4 linked regions of the Drosophila melanogaster genome follow. Changing the gene in region 1 together with any one later gene gives a genetic interaction. Each region holds a gene or a part of one and is shown in the gene's direction. Other genes may lie near its edges. The genes, in order: Pi3K68D, Sbf, hemo and Mp.

Evidence for each region.
Region 2: of Pi3K68D (region 1) and Sbf, changing one suppresses a phenotype caused by changing the other (phenotypic suppression), as found in Drosophila melanogaster (one study listed by BioGRID).
Region 3: of Pi3K68D (region 1) and hemo, changing one suppresses a phenotype caused by changing the other (phenotypic suppression), as found in Drosophila melanogaster (one study listed by BioGRID).
Region 4: of Pi3K68D (region 1) and Mp, changing one enhances a phenotype caused by changing the other (phenotypic enhancement), as found in Drosophila melanogaster (one study listed by BioGRID).

What each region holds. Positions count from the first base shown.
Region 1 is NT_037436.4:11,786,977-11,791,594, reverse strand, and holds the start of Pi3K68D (phosphatidylinositol 3-kinase 68D), read left to right. Parts: upstream 1-1,581; 5' UTR 1,582-1,673; exon of another isoform or gene 1,674-1,974; 5' UTR 1,975-2,054; intron 2,055-3,349; 5' UTR 3,350-3,382; coding exon 3,383-4,416; intron 4,417-4,484; coding exon 4,485-4,537; intron 4,538-4,618. Other genes in the region: twy (twitchy), read left to right, coding at 1-1,317.
Region 2 is NT_033777.3:11,793,895-11,798,568, reverse strand, and holds the start of Sbf (SET domain binding factor), read left to right. Parts: upstream 1-1,620; 5' UTR 1,621-1,725; intron 1,726-2,074; 5' UTR 2,075-2,133; coding exon 2,134-2,188; intron 2,189-2,259; coding exon 2,260-2,363; intron 2,364-2,432; coding exon 2,433-2,753; intron 2,754-2,812; coding exon 2,813-4,674. Other genes in the region: ClC-a (chloride channel-a), read left to right, coding at 26-295, 422-451, 530-763, 822-1,127.
Region 3 is NT_033777.3:18,563,711-18,567,007, reverse strand, and holds hemo (hemotin), read left to right. Parts: upstream 1-1,834; 5' UTR 1,835-1,875; coding exon 1,876-2,142; 3' UTR 2,143-2,288; coding exon of another isoform or gene 2,289-2,468; 3' UTR 2,469-2,744; downstream 2,745-3,297. Other genes in the region: CG43210 (uncharacterized protein), read left to right, coding at 2,289-2,468. UniProt on the Drosophila melanogaster protein: Negatively regulates early endosome maturation by binding to and repressing the activity of 14-3-3zeta which prevents the 14-3-3zeta-mediated activation of phosphoinositide 3-kinase Pi3K68D.
Region 4 is NT_037436.4:6,997,287-7,001,853, forward strand, and holds the start of Mp (multiplexin), read left to right. Parts: upstream 1-1,556; 5' UTR 1,557-1,692; exon of another isoform or gene 1,693-1,717; intron 1,718-2,348; exon of another isoform or gene 2,349-2,353; 5' UTR 2,354-2,549; intron 2,550-4,567.

The sequences.
Region 1 (4,618 bases):
CGACAAGATCATGAGGATGAGGTGCGCAAGCTGCGTCAATCCCACGAGCTGGACCTCGAGGGTATTCGTCAGGCTAAAATGGTGGAGTTGTCGGCGGTGCAGGATCATGGAAATTATCTGGACACATTGCGTCTGGCGTCCAGCAATCTTCAAGAACTTCGTGACGGGATGAGTGACAACCAGGAAAGGGAACGGCAGTTGGAGGCGCGAGAACGTCGCCTGGCCGACCAGGAAAGGCGTCTAAAGATGGACGAGGAGACGGCCGACGATGAGAAGCGCCGCCTGATGGAACTGGTGAGCACCTTGGAGCTGCAGCTGGGCCGTTTGTCCAAGGAGTCAGCCGAAGAGAACTGGCAGCTCCGTCAACGAATGTCCAGCTTGGAAGCGGAGCGCAAGGCTTTCGAGCGCGAAAAAGAATTCCATCGCGAGCAAATGCAGCGGGACGAGAAGCGTGTGGAGGATCTTAAAGCACTGCAGCTTGCGGAAATGGAACGACTGCACCACGATCTCCAGGAGGAGCGCAATCAACTGACAGTGGAACGCCAGCAGATTGAACTAAGACAACAGCTCAATGAGCACGGCGACCCAGACAGAGATCGCCGGGAACTGGAGGCCCAACTGCAGGTGGCACGCGAAGCCATTCGGCGGGCGGATGAGGAGCGGGATCGCTACCACAAGCTGCAGCGCGAAATGGAGCAGCGCAAGCGCCATCTTCTGGATAAGGAGCACGCCCTAAATCTCAAGGAGGACGAACTGGGCCAAGCCACCGGCGCCTACCGCCTAGCCACTAGTCGCCAACACTTGGCCGAGCAGAAGGCTAGGGAGGCGGACCAGCTGCTCCAGGCCAAGCTTAAGGTCATGGCCAAGCGGGCCCAGGAAATCGCGGAAAAGGAGGCACAGCTGGCCCACGAACGAATGCTGGTGGCGCAGGATCGTATGGCTTTGGTCAATCTGAAGAAGCAGATTTCTCGCAGCAGGTGTGCAATCTGCAAAATGGGTGCGGAATCGGCGGAAATCGCCCAGCGAAGGGCAAATGTAAATCCCACAGCAGCCACCGATCTTCAACTGCCTCAAGTGACACCCAGTCATGCGGAGCTGCTGCTTAAAATGTCCCAGGAACCGGGACAGGTCCAGAGTGACATTGTGGATCGAATGCTGGACGAAAACATCGAAGCCTCCTACCGCAGGATGTACAATGCGCCCCCCAGTAGTTCAATCGATGATCCCGACTATCTATTGACGTTAGCTGGTGGGCTGGACGACGACTCCAAGGTGGCCATGGATCACGGCCTGAATGTGGACGAAGCATTTATGTAGATATTGTGGAAAAATTTGTGGAAGCACAAATAATAACAACTGAGATAAATAAATGTATTACTTGGCAATTAGTATAAGTTTTATAAACAAACTATGAAGATACAAGATTACATATCGCTCGAAAGTTAAGTATTTTGTTATTCGTTAGAAACTCAATAAATTTGAATTGATGGAGTGAAACCCGGCTACATGATTAGCCAATACTCAAACATCTGTTCGATGTATCTTTCATCGATAGTTGCCAAACAATATCGATTCGTTTACCATCGCTACTGCTTGTTGCATTCCGTTTTGTGTTATTTCGTGCTGTTCGTGTTTAAAGTTCTTGCGCACAAGATAATTGTTTTTTTTTTATTGTAAATTAACTGATTTGTACATAATATGTGATGGTGCAAGAAAATCTAAGAAAATAACGTTTTGTTCAGTATTTTGGTGTTGCGTCTATTCCGTTTTTTGTCACTGTTTTCTGTTCGTGTTTGTGTATGGTCGTTTCGCATGTATGTGTGTAGGTGTTTAGGTGTGTAGGAGGATAAAACAACTCTCCTAAAAACAAAAAAAAAACCTTTGGTTAAGTTTAAATTAATTGTGATTCGTCAAATATAACAACAACCGAGGATAAAAGTGTAAAACTATTAACCGGATGGTCTATGTTCGTAGCCCCGTCAAGGGAAAACCTCAACCAAAAAGAGACTAGCAACGGGTGTAAAAAGCAGCGGAGGTGACACCTCAAAAAGCAAGTAAGTTGGCAATATGCGGATGAGAATCACAAAGCAGAAGTCAAGTCTGCATATTAATGACTATCTCCATTATTATTTTCTTTCGCCCTTCCACCGATATTCGTTTTTTTTAAATTTTATTCTTACGTTCTCCGGAATAAATTGGCATTCAATTGGGTTCATTTATTGTTTATGAATATTGTTTTTAAAAATTTTTTCGCAATCTATTGATTTACCTTAACCTTTGCCGCACGGAACCCTCTCTTTTGCTCTCTCTTCCTCGCTTCCTATTCCTAGCCGGTTCGCATTTTCTTATCTTCCATTCCGTCCCCGTTCGCGACACGGACTCACACACACACTAGTGCTTTTGTGGGTGTGTTTATATTAAACAGCTGTTTCCTATCTGCATACGAGATTGGCTTCAATGGGGAAAAAATCAAAACGCTTACATGCTGACATATATATATACGTTTATATTGCATATATTCGTATATATGTGTAAAATCTGGGAAATCAGTACTCGCAGCATTCATTCACGCAAATTGATGCCGCCGCTTTTGTTTGTTTTTATATATTTATTTACAATCGCGCACTCAATTGCGCCTTTTTGCGCCACTCTGCTGTATCGCAATCGCAAATTTGGAGCGCTTGGATATGGTTTCTATGTGCAAAGTACACAAGTATTTACCACATTTGTATGTACAAACAATAAGATAAAATGTTTTGCTGATGTTTGTACCGAATGTCGAAACTCTGCTAATCATACTTAATATCATGCTTGCATAATGATGTTCGAACTTTTCTATTAGAAGTTGATATTTTTTAAAATATAAAATTAATTCCTGTCCCTGCCCTGGCTATCACAAATCCTTGTAATTACGTTTTAAATGCAGTTGTCATATCCTTTTAACCATTTCGAAGCTTACAAATCTAATAAAGCGATCAATCTGTTCTCCCCTATTTTCTGAATTTCTGAATCATTGGTGCCCGCTAATGACGGCTCATTATCGATCGCGAATATTCCTTTGCAACTTAAAAAAAAAAAACTAGTGATAGGCACCCCCACTCTGTCGCAAGTGGTCTTCCCCCCATCGAATGCTATCTCACCTGTTCTTCGTCCAGGTACTCATATAGTACCATTGCCATTTACACTGCATAATCACTTTTATCACCGCCTGTTCGTTATCGCAGAGATAAGCAATCCCAAAAGCAAACACCTTTGTTCAACAACAAATAGGCATTGGAAGAGAAAATACGAAAATAATTTTAACAAAATTTGGAAATCGCTCACATTTTGTTCTGGTTCCCATTCGCAGCTCAACGGACCGGACGCTTTAGACGAGGGGATAATGTCAAATCAAGCGCATATCGACTACGACAAACAATTCCAGGATGACCTGGCCAAGGCGACCGCCCTGAGTCTAGAGCAGCATGCCCTCGATGACTACAGGCGAAACAAGAAGTACGGCTCCGGGTATCAGCAAAGCTCCACCGTTGCTGGCCGAGATTACCAGGCGGCGCAACGTAGTCAGAGCCTACATCAACCACGACGGCACTCGGAGGTGCATCAGGTGGCCATCAGTCCGGAGAATGCGGAACGATCGCGCACACCGCCGGCCCAGGGAACGGATAACGATCTGATCTGCTTCGCAAGTCCCACCAGCAAGCAGCCAGAGAGTAGCAGTCCCTTTGGCAAACTTATAGAGGATCTGCAGCGGATGCAGCCGACCAATCCGCAGTCGGCCCTGGTGCCAATGGGTCCAGTTGCGTCGGCTTCGATTCCTCCTCAATACGGCTTTCCACCTCATCAGCAACGTCCAACGGCTGCTCAGCCCACACCGTACGGCATGGTTGCAGGTGGAGTTGTTGGTGGACCGGCTTACGGTGACCTGCAGTTGGTGCCTTACCAACCAGCTGCTCAGCAACAGAGGCCACTAAACAGCGAGGAGCTGCAGCGGCTGTACAGCATGCCCGCTCAAATGGCCGTGGTTCCAGTGCCGCAGCCAAACGCCTATATGTACTATCCCGGAGCTGTGGTTACTCCATACACGGCTCCCATTGTTCCCGGATCGGCTGCTTTTATGCCGCCGCAGTATCCCGCACAGGGATATGGCTTTGGAGGTGCTTACACGCACATGGATTTGCGTCGACCCCAATCGCAACCAGCTCCCCAACAAACAGCACCGACAACAAGTCATCATCACAGCCAACCGTCCAACCATTCCACTTCCTCCCCCGCAGAGGCCAATGGAGTAGCCTTCCCAGCGCGTCGCCAAGTGCCCTCGACTGTCGGGGTTAGCTCTAGTAGCCACACTGGAAACAATGGTCATTCCTCGGTCCCACGCAGGGGCAACGATTTGATCGACCTCAACCACGAGGACTAGTATGTATCCACTAGTGTTCAGAAATGATTAGTTCGTGTTTTTAACATTCAAACATCCTGCTTTGCAGCTCCCGTGTGAGTGTGCTGGAGGCATTCGATCCCCTGCTAAACGACAATACTGGTAAGCAGCCTCAATGTTGTAATTAACGTGTAGCTCCCGGTCCTCGTTGAAATCCCCCCACATTTTTCGCACCGTAAACTA
Region 2 (4,674 bases), on another chromosome or scaffold:
AATCTCAAGATTAATGTTTAAAAAGCCTGCCGAGAAAGATTTCACGGATAAAGCATTATCAAATAATGGAGATAGTTCAAAGCAATCACCGAGCATTAAATTCAAAGCAAATAAAGTGGCAGATGTAAATAGATCTCCTCAGACGGCCAAGAGGTGCTCGAAAATAAGGTTTGCTAACGAAGTTGGAGTAAATGGTTCGCCCACTCGAACGAAATGTAAAATAAAACCAGAAAATGTATTGGGTTACTCTATAGAGGATGTGGATGAAACAACAAATCCAGAATCGCTGGCTGAGGTATGTAAAACTGATGCAAACTTTTGATTAATATCTATTGTCAACGAGCTTACAACGCATTATGAATCATTAACTCTCAAAGTTAACATACACATTTTCTCTCCTATCTTGTAAATCCCAAATAAGAGCATTCAAAAGCCGAAGTCGGTGCGATTGGTACGTTTAGAATATTTTAATTACATAACCCCTTATTTCAATCAAGATATAATATCTACCGATTTGATTGATTTACAGCCCAGGGAACGTGTTATTGACATGTCACCGGAGGATCAGAAGCAATGGGAGCTCGAGGAAATGTTGAAGCCCATCGATTTGCAGAAGGCCAATGTCCACATCGATCCCTCGCCATTTCAGCTGGTGGAACGCACCTCCATACTCAAGGTTCACTCGTTGTTTTCCATGGTGGGTATTAACCACGCCTATGTCACCAAAATCGGAAGACTTGTTGGTGTCGTGGGACTCAAAGAAGTAAGTCTTGTTTGATATCCTTGATGATTATAACAATAACACATGTTTTATTAAACAGTTGCGAAAAGCCATCGAGGACATTAATAGCAATAGTTTCGTGCCCCCCACACGGGATGAGGATGCGGATGAGAAGCCGGCGGTGGAGAAACCTCTGCTGTCGACGAACTCTAGTGATAAGGCCGTGGACATGACCGTCACCTCCATGGACTCGGCACTATCCAATTCCGAGAACTGTTCGGACATTGAAATGGAGCACATAAAGCACACGGATAAGGGCACTGTATCGCTCACCATGCCGCCACAGGAATCTAAGCAAAGTCCATCGGCGGACAAAAGTAACACAGAAAACGGAAATCATGCTTGAAACAAGATGATCGGCCATCATAATAGTTAATACGATACGTATACGTAATATGTTTGTAAAGATCAGCTAAACACATCTATCTTAAGTTACGTCTTACACGAGTTAGTCATCAATGTTATTATGTATTTATATCTCGTTAGTTCATAATGTGAAAAATATCGTGATTTATATTTAAGTTGAAAAGAAAATCAAGTCACCAACGAAGGCTGCGTTTGATTTTTATTTATATACTGGGGAGTATTAATGTAGTATACAAGTTTCCTATTTTTCCAACAGATTAATTATATTATAATTTCCCCAAAATTGTTTAATGAATATTTAAGGCTAAGTGGAAATTAATTTTGCCATTTTCCAATTGATCTTTTAAGTTCGCGCCGATTAATTTGTAGCGCAGTCCGAAACTATCGATACATTCAAAGCGCCAATCAAATATCGACACATTCAATCAGCTGATGCAGAAAGTGTTGGATAATTCGTGAAAATTATTGTGTATTGCATCTATCTTTTTCTATGCGAACTTAAAAATAATTATTATAGCCCCGAATTCTTTGAGATTTGCTGGCAGTTAGCGGGGATTTCGGCTGCAGCCGGCTGCGAGGTGTGTGCGCGGATATATATATATAGATTGGCCAGTCCGATTCCCGGCGAACGATCCCACTTTGCGTGGCGGGGTGTGGTTAAAGAAAAAAGAGTGAAGACCAAGACTCGTAAAGCCTGAAAAACGCCTCCGGGCGCTATAGACAATACAATAACAATTCGGCCCCTCGATCTCCGTGGAGCTAATCATTTATGCCGAGCGCAGAGACGGAGCCTAATTAGCATATCAAATTGGATGACGGCACTGGCGAATAGAATCCATCTGCCGCTGTCCCCTGCTACAAGAACGCAACAGAACAAAAACAAAAAAAAAATCAAAATAAAACATCTTCAACTCTTTGTTCTCCTAGATTTGGCTAGTAAAGAGCCGTAGGATCCTAGACGACTGGCCGGCTATGTGGTGGGCAAGATGTCCCGGCTCGCTGATTACTTCGTAATAGTCGGCTACGACAGTGATAAGGAGAGTGAGTACATCCACATGCCCATCAGCCATAATTAGCAATTCTCTGACATTCAACAATTTCCCTTTTCCCAGAAACTGCCAGCAATGTGGGCGGCCAGCCGACGTGCGGCAAGATCGTTCAGCGCTTTCCCGAGAAAGATTGGCCGGACACTCCGTTTATCGAGGGCATTGAATGGGTGGGTGCGCTTGAAACATTCCTCACTTAATTCGAAGCATATCTGAATTTTAACTTATCATTCCGACAGTTCTGCCAGCCGCTCGGCTGGAGTTTATCGTACGAGAAGCAGGAGCCCAAGTTCTTCGTCTCTGTGCTGACGGACATCGATGCCAACAAGCACTACTGCGCCTGCCTCAGCTTTCATGAGACGGTGGCCATCACACAGACGCGCAGCGTCGACGACGAGGATGAGACCATCGGCAGCAGCAGGCTGCTGGGAGCCACACCCTCATCGATGGATGGCATCACAACGACATCCACGCCGGCTTCCATTACGCACCACAGCGTCATGTATGCACCAAAGTGTCTGGTGCTTATATCGCGTTTGGACTGTGCCGAGACCTTTAAAGTGAGTTTAAAAGTCAGACCACCTAAGATACTAAATTAAGCCATTATCTTAATTTACAGAATTGTCTCGGCACCATATACACGGTGTACATTGAGAACCTGGCGTATGGATTGGAGACACTCATAGGAAACATTCTGGGCTGCATCCAAGTTCCTCCAGCGGGTGGACCGCAGGTGCGCTTCTCTATAGGAGCAGGAGACAAGCAGTCGCTCCAGCCTCCGCAGAGCTCCTCCCTGCCCACGACTGGAAGTGGAGTCCACTTCCTCTTCAAGCAGCTGGGCATCAAGAATGTGCTGATACTGCTTTGCTCCGTGATGACAGAGAACAAGATACTGTTTCTTTCTAAGTGTTATTGGCACCTGACGGACAGCTGCAGAGCTTTGGTGGCATTGATGTATCCCTTTCGGTATACTCATGTTTATATACCAATTCTGCCGGCTCCACTCACGGAAGTGTTATCCACACCTACGCCATTTATTATGGGCATACATAGCTCACTGCAAACTGAGATTACGGATTTACTGGATGTTATTGTGGTGGATTTGGATGGCGGCCTCGTTACCATTCCCGAGTCGCTGACGCCGCCTGTTCCTATTCTTCCATCACCGCTGTGGGAACAGACCCAGGACCTGCTCAGCATGATCCTGTTTCCAAACCTGGCGCAGGCCGATCTGGCGTTTCCCACATTAGAGCGGCCTTCAGCTATTGCTAAGACTGACGCCCAGATTGATAAGGAACTTCGCGCCATATTCATGCGCCTTTTCGCTCAGCTGCTGCAGGGATATCGCTCCTGCCTGACTATCATTCGGATCCACCCAAAGCCGGTGATCACCTTCCATAAGGCAGGATTTCTCGGCGCCCGCGATCTGATAGAGAGCGAATTCCTGTTTAGGGTGCTGGACAGCATGTTTTTCACGACGTTTGTCAACGAACGAGGCCCTCCCTGGCGATCCTCCGATGCCTGGGATGAGCTCTACAGCTCAATGAACGAACTGCTCAAATCGGAGGCGCAGAATCGAAATCTCGTAGGTAGAACTCAAAGATTCAAGGGATATTTTAATTTTACCTTTCCTTCCTACTTTCAGATACTCACACATATCCAGGAATTGGGACGAGTTCTATATGAAAATGAGGGCACTCTGGCTCACATCAGCTATGCCCAAAAAGTACTGCGTCCGCCGGAAGGCGCATTCCAGCGTATTCATCAACCAGCCTTTCCGCGCATAAGTTCGGAAAAGGTTGAGCTTATCATACAGGAAGGGATACGAAAGAACGGAGTGCCACAACGCTTTCATGTAACACGTAATCAGCACCGTATCATTCCGATGGGACCCAGGTTACCCGAGGCATTAGATGTGCGTCCCAATGTCCAAAACTCGGCTAGGCGACTGGAGGTGCTGCGGATCTGTGTGTCATACATCTTTGAGAATCGAATTACAGATGCCAGAAAACTGCTGCCGGCTGTGATGCGCACCCTAATGCATCGGGATGCGCGCTTGATCTTGTGCCGCGAGTTCTTTGGATATGTGCACGGCAACAAGGCAGTTCTGGACCATCAACAGTTTGAATTAGTTGTGCGATTCATGAACAAGGCGCTGCAAAAATCATCCGGCATTGATGAGTACACAGTGGCTGCGGCTCTGCTGCCCATGTCCACAATCTTCTGCCGTAAGCTCTCGACTGGAGTAGTGCAATTTGCGTACACAGAGATACAGGATCACGCCATCTGGAAAAACCTGCAATTTTGGGAGTCTACTTTCTTTCAGGATGTCCAAGGTCAAATAAAGGCGTTGTATCTGCTTCACCGACGTCAGAACGAGCATCAAAAGGAGGCCAACTGTGTGCTGGACGAAGTTCCTCTAGAGGAGCCCACGGCGCTTGAAATTACAGCCGAGCAGCTGCGCAAAAGTCCCAACATCGA
Region 3 (3,297 bases), on another chromosome or scaffold:
ATGCAACACGTTCGCATACGATAAAAGTGGATTTGTGGTGGAAAATGTGTGGGGTTTTTGGGGACACAGGACGCCAAACGGGCAACATAAAGCAAACAAATATCACTTGTAATGCTAAATGCGGGCCTGGAATTACAAGGCTTTAATATAACAAGCACAGCTTACAGCACTTTATTATAAACTTTTCTTCTGTTAAGTAATAACTGATATAACTTTAATTTACTTTATGTTAAATAAGTGCTTTTCATAGTATTGAATTCAGCTGCCTTGATATCGAGTTCAAATTCAGTCAATATGACTATATTAACATCACTATCTTCATTTAAGCCCTTGTGGATCAAAGTATCTACCGAAGTATCTGTTCCATTTGCACATTTCGGATGCGTTTGAAAATCCGCTTAAATGCCAACCGAATCGAATCGAAACGAAACAAACCAAACCACGTTCGCCTCAAATCGACAAAGGCTTTCCCACTCCTTCTCCATTTGGAGCCACCTTCGACATGGAGTCAAACACCTGCGAAATTGAATGAGAAATATCCATTCTGTGTGCGTTGTGAGTGTTTTTTTTTTTTTTTTTTTTTGGTCAGTGTGTTTGTTACGCTTGCAAACTTACGCCCCAACTGCCTCGATTATTTTCGAACCTCGAACATAGTTGGTAAAAAACAATTTTATTTCACCGAAAGAATTTTAAGCAATACAAAAGGATTTTCAATGCATGAACTGCAACTTATTTTCTTGTTTTGAAAGAATTCCTATTCGGTTCGATGTGTAGGAAATGTTTTTGTGGCACCTTTAAAATATTTTAAGGCTCCCTTTCGAAGTTCCTTAATGAAATTAATTAAGTGCTAACACCACACATTTATTGTTTATTTGCTTAAAACCCACAATATCTCAGCATCTTTAGTGTGAAAAAACCAAAAAAAAACTGGCTCTACTTTTCTGCGGCGAAATTTTAAATTAAAAGCAAACTTTGCTCATCAGTCTGTGGGTGTGTGGAATGCGGCAGATGTCGAGGTGTTGCTGCGATTTGGCATATATCCATCCATTTTTGTGCTGCTTGTTTTTTGGTTCTTACTCCATCATAAAGCATCAAATGTCAGCAGCACTCGCAGTCAACACAGCAAGGCACAATTTCAAAGTTTGAATTGAGCTGCGTCTGGACGCCGCCGACGCGTTCCCCTGGAGTTCTATATGTTTGTCTAGCTAGCAGTTCTATTTGCAATGGTCCCCAGATTCTGGAGAATCCCCGGAGGGCATCGTCATCAGCGGAATGAGACGAAGAAAACAACAATGAGATGGGACCTTGGCGCCCTTGCATGATTCATTCAAGCTTCTGGCTTATCCACCAACTCGAGTGCATGTGGATCACAAACAGGCATAGTACACAAAGTTCACTAAGAAAGTAAAGTGCTTCATAATAAAGTAATAAATAAAATTAAAGCTAGTCAGTTAGTAAAATGAAAGTGAATGAATAATTTAATATTTCAAACCGATAAAATCATTCGGAAATACGAAAAAAATCGGATAAGAACTCAAATCCGCTGCGAGTATTAATAGCGTTTTATCTGCATTTTTGAGGGAGAGAGAATAAAGTTCTGCAGAGAAAAAATTTTGGTTTTTAAATTAAATCATTGTGAAAATTCAAATAATGACCATGATTAATATTTTAGTAATTATTTCAAAAACAATTGATAGAGAAACTATATAAATATTTACCAAGAAATTCAGAATGTAATAATTATTAGCCCAATATAATTTCTCTGTGTGTATTTGGAGAAAATAAATCGCCATTTGAACGCAAATGCCAAACATTTAAGGGTTCCTCGCTATTTAGTTATATTTCCCCATCCGCACATCGAACGTCGCTTGCAACATGGATTGTTTTAAAGTTTTCGAAGTTGTATTTCAATCGGAAATCAATCCCTTACTGCTGATTCCCGCCGTAGCTACAATTGCACTTACGTTGTGTTGCTATTGTTATCACGGCTATCAGTGGATCCGCGATCGTCGAACAGCTCGCATCGAGGAGCAGCAAGCCCAGTTGCCACTGCCACTGAGTCGCATATCCATCACGCCCGGATGCTCAATGGTGGCCACCACGAAGCTAACGCACAGCCGGAATAGCGTTGATATCTATTAAAATCCTAGCTTTGTAGATAAATCATTAAACACTTCAGCGATGCTTTAATCTTCAATCTTTAAACTTAAGATTATGCTCAAGACATAAACGAGTGGCTATCGAAAGTGAGGATTTGAACTAGTTTATTTTTTGGACAGTGCATCACGATGACTGACAGTCAAATTCACTTGTCCTACTTCATCTGCGGACCGGTCTTCATATTGATGGTATTCATGTACTTCTACTACTGGTATCTGAATGTCCGCGAGTGTCGTAGATCGCGGGGGCGTGAAGCCACGCCTACTTTGCCAGACGATATCTCTGTGGAACGACTGCAAGTCTATTGACAAAGTTAAGTTCATGTGAATCACTGCACTGCGAGAAGCGTTTTTTTTAAACCTTTGTAAAAATAATAATAAATGCCAAGCTTTAAAAAAAAATTGTTTAGTTACGGTATCTATTATATAAGATAATGTTTAAACGATTTTCTAATTAAATAATCTATGAAAAATCAGTTAATGATATTTCTGTGTTAAATAAATCTATAACGACATATGATTATCGCAAATATTAATATTTATATTATTAATTCTTTCCCAGAAATAAGATAACGAAAAGTAAATAAAACGTGTATTGAAAACGAAATGAATGTAAAATGCACACTAGTCACTGACATGATGTCGCCTTGTTTACAATCGGTTATGAATGATTCATTCTGTATCTGAATACCAGTGTTTTTATATGTCTCCGCTCGGATCGCAACCATAAAAAAAGAGTTGCCTGTTGTGTAATAAAATGTTTGATGAGTTCACGGCAGGAACGAAGTACCTTTAAGTACAACTTAAGGTGAAAACGTGATGTCTGTGGGTGTGTGTGTGTGTTTTGGATGGGTGTATTTTGAGAGTTGTTGGTTGCTTACGACGGGCCATAAATTTAGCCAAAAACTTGGCTATGCATCTTCGCTGACGTTTCCTTTCACGACCTGCAAAATTTAGAGCTGCACGGCGGTTTTGATGGTCCTCGGTGGCAGGACGAGATGCGCTAATAAATGACATTTTCATTCACATCCCGGCAACGAAGTCGTCACAGGTAATAAGGGAAATTAAATTAAGCGAATTAAGTGGCCAAAGTGTAAAGTGAGCTTTAAAACAAAGCAAATTGAAGGTAACTCATTTA
Region 4 (4,567 bases), 4.8 Mb from region 1:
AAATGGATGCACAGGCATGCCGGCGAAGGCAGTTCAAGTGCACATGGCCAACATGAGCTGCGATGCTGCGATGCTGTGATGCTGCTTGAATAAACAATTGGCGGGCTTTGGGCAGTCGGCGTGCAAACAACGCGACTCTTGTGGCAGAAAATGGTCGAGGGGGGGGGGGTGTTTGGGGAATACCCCCATCCAAAAGGGGAAGGGCCGGGTGGAGACAACACGTTGCAAGTTCGATAAATGGCCGGCTCTTTAAAATAAAGTTTGCTTGCAATGGCTTTCTGATAAGGCTGACAAAATTACGCATACGCCGCATGTGCCCGCGTCGCAGTCGACGTCGACGGCGCTCTCTTTCTCTGCCAACACACACACGCGCTCTCTCTCTCTCTCTCTTTCTCTCTGGCTCTTTTCCTCTCTCAATTTTTTTTTGCCCAACAACTTGTATGAATGTGTTTTCAGTTTTTCCGGCTTTTTTGAGTTTTGAGCCTTTCGAGCCTTTTGCGATTCAACTATATCAACTGCTTTTCAATTTATTTATAGAATTTCAAATGAGGCGCCGGTGCGTAGTTGTTGCTGGAAAATTATGCTTAGTTTTATTACGTATAAATAATTAAGACGGCCAACTTGCCACAGCACATGTGGGACCAGGGGCATGTGTTCACTATGTTTTCCCGCCCCTCCAAAAATTTGTCGACTTCTTCGCACTTGTAGCCTTATCACTTTCCTATGGCCCACGTACCTTTCAAAGCCGCTTGGGAACTAATTTGCGCTGCTGTCCTGCCCGCTTTCCCTTGCCAAAGTTAAACGAAAGTGTTGCCCCGTATGGTTCGTCTCTCCAGTTGGCCCTATTTATAGCCAAGTGGTCGGTGCAAAGACGACAGCAGGGAGAAGTCGGAAAATGCTGAAGCCATAAGCACCTGCAGTCGCTGCACCTTGCAGCGGAAAATTGCCGCTTTGATTTGGCTTGCAGGAAATTCGCGTTACTGGAAATATTGTTCATAAAACGGTTTATGATATCATGTATACCGCCAGTTATATCGAGTGAGAATCATAAATTCTAGAAATTCAAATTTCTTTGAAAAGAAACTAAGAATAATGCTTATCAGTTTTTTGTTGAAAATATTGTTTTCGGAAGTACAACTATCGTTGGTTTTTTGTTAAATATAATTAATTCAATTTAATTTCATTTCATTTCCGCAATTTTGCTCATCGTACACAACGTTTAGGATACTCGTAGAAAGTCAATTAAATTCGTTCAGTTTGCACCTCAAATATTGGCTCAGCAAAACAAAATTGCACTAGCTGTTTACTAAATCGAAAACTCGATTTAAATTCATTTAAATTTAAAAGTTATCTACCATTTCGAGTGCCTTAAAACAATGCTTTTAATTGCATTTCGAATTTCGCGTTCCATTAGTATCTGTATAGGTATCAGCGACAAAAGTATCTGCCAAAATGTATTTACCATAGACGGCAAACGGTAGCATTTTGATTTCGGCATTCTCCCGCTGCCGACTGCGCTGCCAGCTGCTCTGCCGGCTGCCAGCTTTTCAGGCCTCAGTCTCAGTCTCAGTCTGAACGCTGAACGGAGCGCATCGCAGGGCACCCACACGCGAATTGAGTGCCGGCCACAACGAAGCGTGCTCCCCTGCGAAACGAAAAACATACAACTCGCGAATTTGCCGGCTGAGATTGGTACACTGCGAAATAAAACGAGATTGTGCGTTAAATGAAAGAAGAAAAAAAAAACGTAGCTTGAAAATATTAAAAATATTCATAGAAAAAGTGCATTAAAAATACAATTTTAAAGCGTTTTAAATAAACTCGTAGACTTCAGCGTACTAAAACCAAACACACTGAACAAATTGTGCTAATAAACATACATTTTAAGAGTCGTAAACAATTTTAATCAACAAAAAGTCACATAATTTATATTTCATATTAATGTCAATTATTTTTGATAAAGCTTTTGATGTAGAGGCAAACTTTTAATGAACGCAAAATATATACCGCTTCGATTTCTTTCTTAAAACATTTCAGACAAGCAAACCGTGAATCTTGAACACTCATTTTTTATGAAAAAAAGACAAATTAAATTTTCAGTGCACTTTTGATTGCGAAACTTAGTTGTCCCCCACAGCCGATCGGTCCACTTTGTGTTTTGTGTTCAGAAATCCTTCGGGCTGCCTTTGTGGCTCCTGCTTTGTGCCATTATTGGATTGGACAATGACTGGCCAATGTCAATGCCATCTCGAATGACCAATCATTGTCTGCCCATTTGGTCACTTCCATTGATCTTCCCCAAGTACACCCCTTTATAAATCCCCGTTTTGTTCCCCCGTTTTGTGTAGTGTAGTGAATTACAAGAACGGAATAACCGAGAGTATATATATAGAAAAGGAAGCCGGGGCTCAAAAGAAAAGTGTCCGAAGGCTTTGTGAAAAGTGTCCTGCTGCTGGAAACTGTCGCCCGAAACTATGCAGCAGTGAAAAAGGCCCACTTCCGCCAGGAAATACGTGGAAATATTCAGTGCCATTCAGCTGGAGACTGAGGTAAGTCCGCCCAACTATTTTTAAGCGATTACCCTTTGATGGTCACGTAAATGGGTGTACGTCCAAAAATTCCATATTGCCCAACAAATCCACTTGAAGTCGGACATTCGTAATGATAATTGCAAGTGCGGGAAATGCATTTTCGCTTGTGGTAATCTCGGCCAACGATTAGCTTTGCTTTTATTTACTTATTAAATAACATTTAGTTTTTCTCCATTTCTGCCGATATCATAATCGACCCATTCATGACGACAAACAAAATAGCCGACAAACAAACAAAGCAAAAACAACGGCAATGAACTGAAAATTAACTATGCATATTTGCGCAGCTCATTAATAAATATAACTAAGAGTCTATTGGTTTAAAAGAAGAAGCAATATTCGGCTTTTGGTTTGCCCTTGACGGATTTATTTGGCCATCTGTTGGCTCAAATATTGGCAGTATGTCTGCAATCTTGATTTAAAATCATACAAAATGTTTGCACATTATATTCACGTTTAAGGGTACTGACTTACGGATAAGTCAGCACTTCTGAAAATAACTATTGATTTGCTTACATAAAAGGAAATATAAAGGGTTATAATGCTAAAGAAAACCAACAACTCATTCTAATTTATGCCTAAAGAAAAGAACATTTAAATGTTTCTATTGCTGCAAAGTTTCTTTTAAAGTTTTCCCTATACCATCTGCAGTTTTTCTTTGCCTATCTTTATATTTTTTTTTTAGCTTCAATATTTTGTCGGCATTAGGAGTTCCCACATTAATGATCTTTCAACAGCATTATGTCGATGAAGTCTGCGATGGAGCAGCGGAAATTGAAGCTGTCGACGGGGCTAGTCAATAAGTCAACTTATTCGCCTGCGAATTTCGCGATTTATGGGGCCCAGCTTTATATATAAATACATACCTAAAGCGCGATAATTGCATATTGCAATCATGTCGAAATAAACTTGTAATTATTGCATATAAATCTTGAGTGAGAGCTGTCGCATGACTGCGAATCTATAATTATTCCATGGGTGGCTTCTGTGACAGTTTGAGTTTTCTGGTGAAATATTTGAAATATATTGAAGCATGAAGTGCATCCAAATTGCATCAGTTACAGGAAAAAATTTGACCTCCCTAAGTAATTGGTTTTTTGAAGACTTATTGCTTAATGGTAACGCACTGCATGATATGCATGGAAAATGTTGTATTTAAATTTTAAGATATTCAATCATTGAACTTTGAGAATATTCTAGTTTTTTTTGAATTTTTACCCACCGGTATCAAGTACGATTTTTTTTCATTTCCATGCGGACTGACCTAGCTTGTCCTAATTAAATGACAAATGCCCCGAATTTGGCAGGGAAAAAAGTTGTGACAGCAAACATTTTTGCCGCACATTTGTGTTAACATTCGTGGGCTTGACTGTTGAAAGTTTCCCCTTTTGTTGCGATTTTGTTGCCACTGTGTGACGACTCTAATTCACGGCAACAGCAACCGGCAGCGACAACTGGCCGAAAAGCAAATGTACTTTGATGTAATACACATAAACATTTGCAAAGGGGGTAATGTCAGCAGTATAAGTTACAAAAAACTCGGCAAAACAAGAGGAAAAAAATATGCCTAAAAATATGGTAGTAGGCTTCGTTGATGAAACTAGAACAATGTGTGCCATTTTGAGATTCCGTAGCGAAAACAAATATAAATCTTCATGAGTCAGTCGCAGCGAAACAAGTACGACTTTTCACTAAAAAAGCAATAAATGCAAACATGTAGAAATTAATTAAAATTGGCTACAAATTTGCATGTGACCCCCACACACCCACACCCCTCGATGTCGTCATATTTTTTTGTTTTTTGTTGCCACTTTGCAGTGACTCAGGCATAAAAGTGAGTGAACAATCGCCGATGTGATAACTGGAGGAACTTACGTCTCAATTAGGTCACTTGTGAATGGTAGTGCGCGATTTTCGTTCGATTCGCGCACTTGCAAAATATTTAAATTAGAAACATGCCCAGTATCCGCACAACT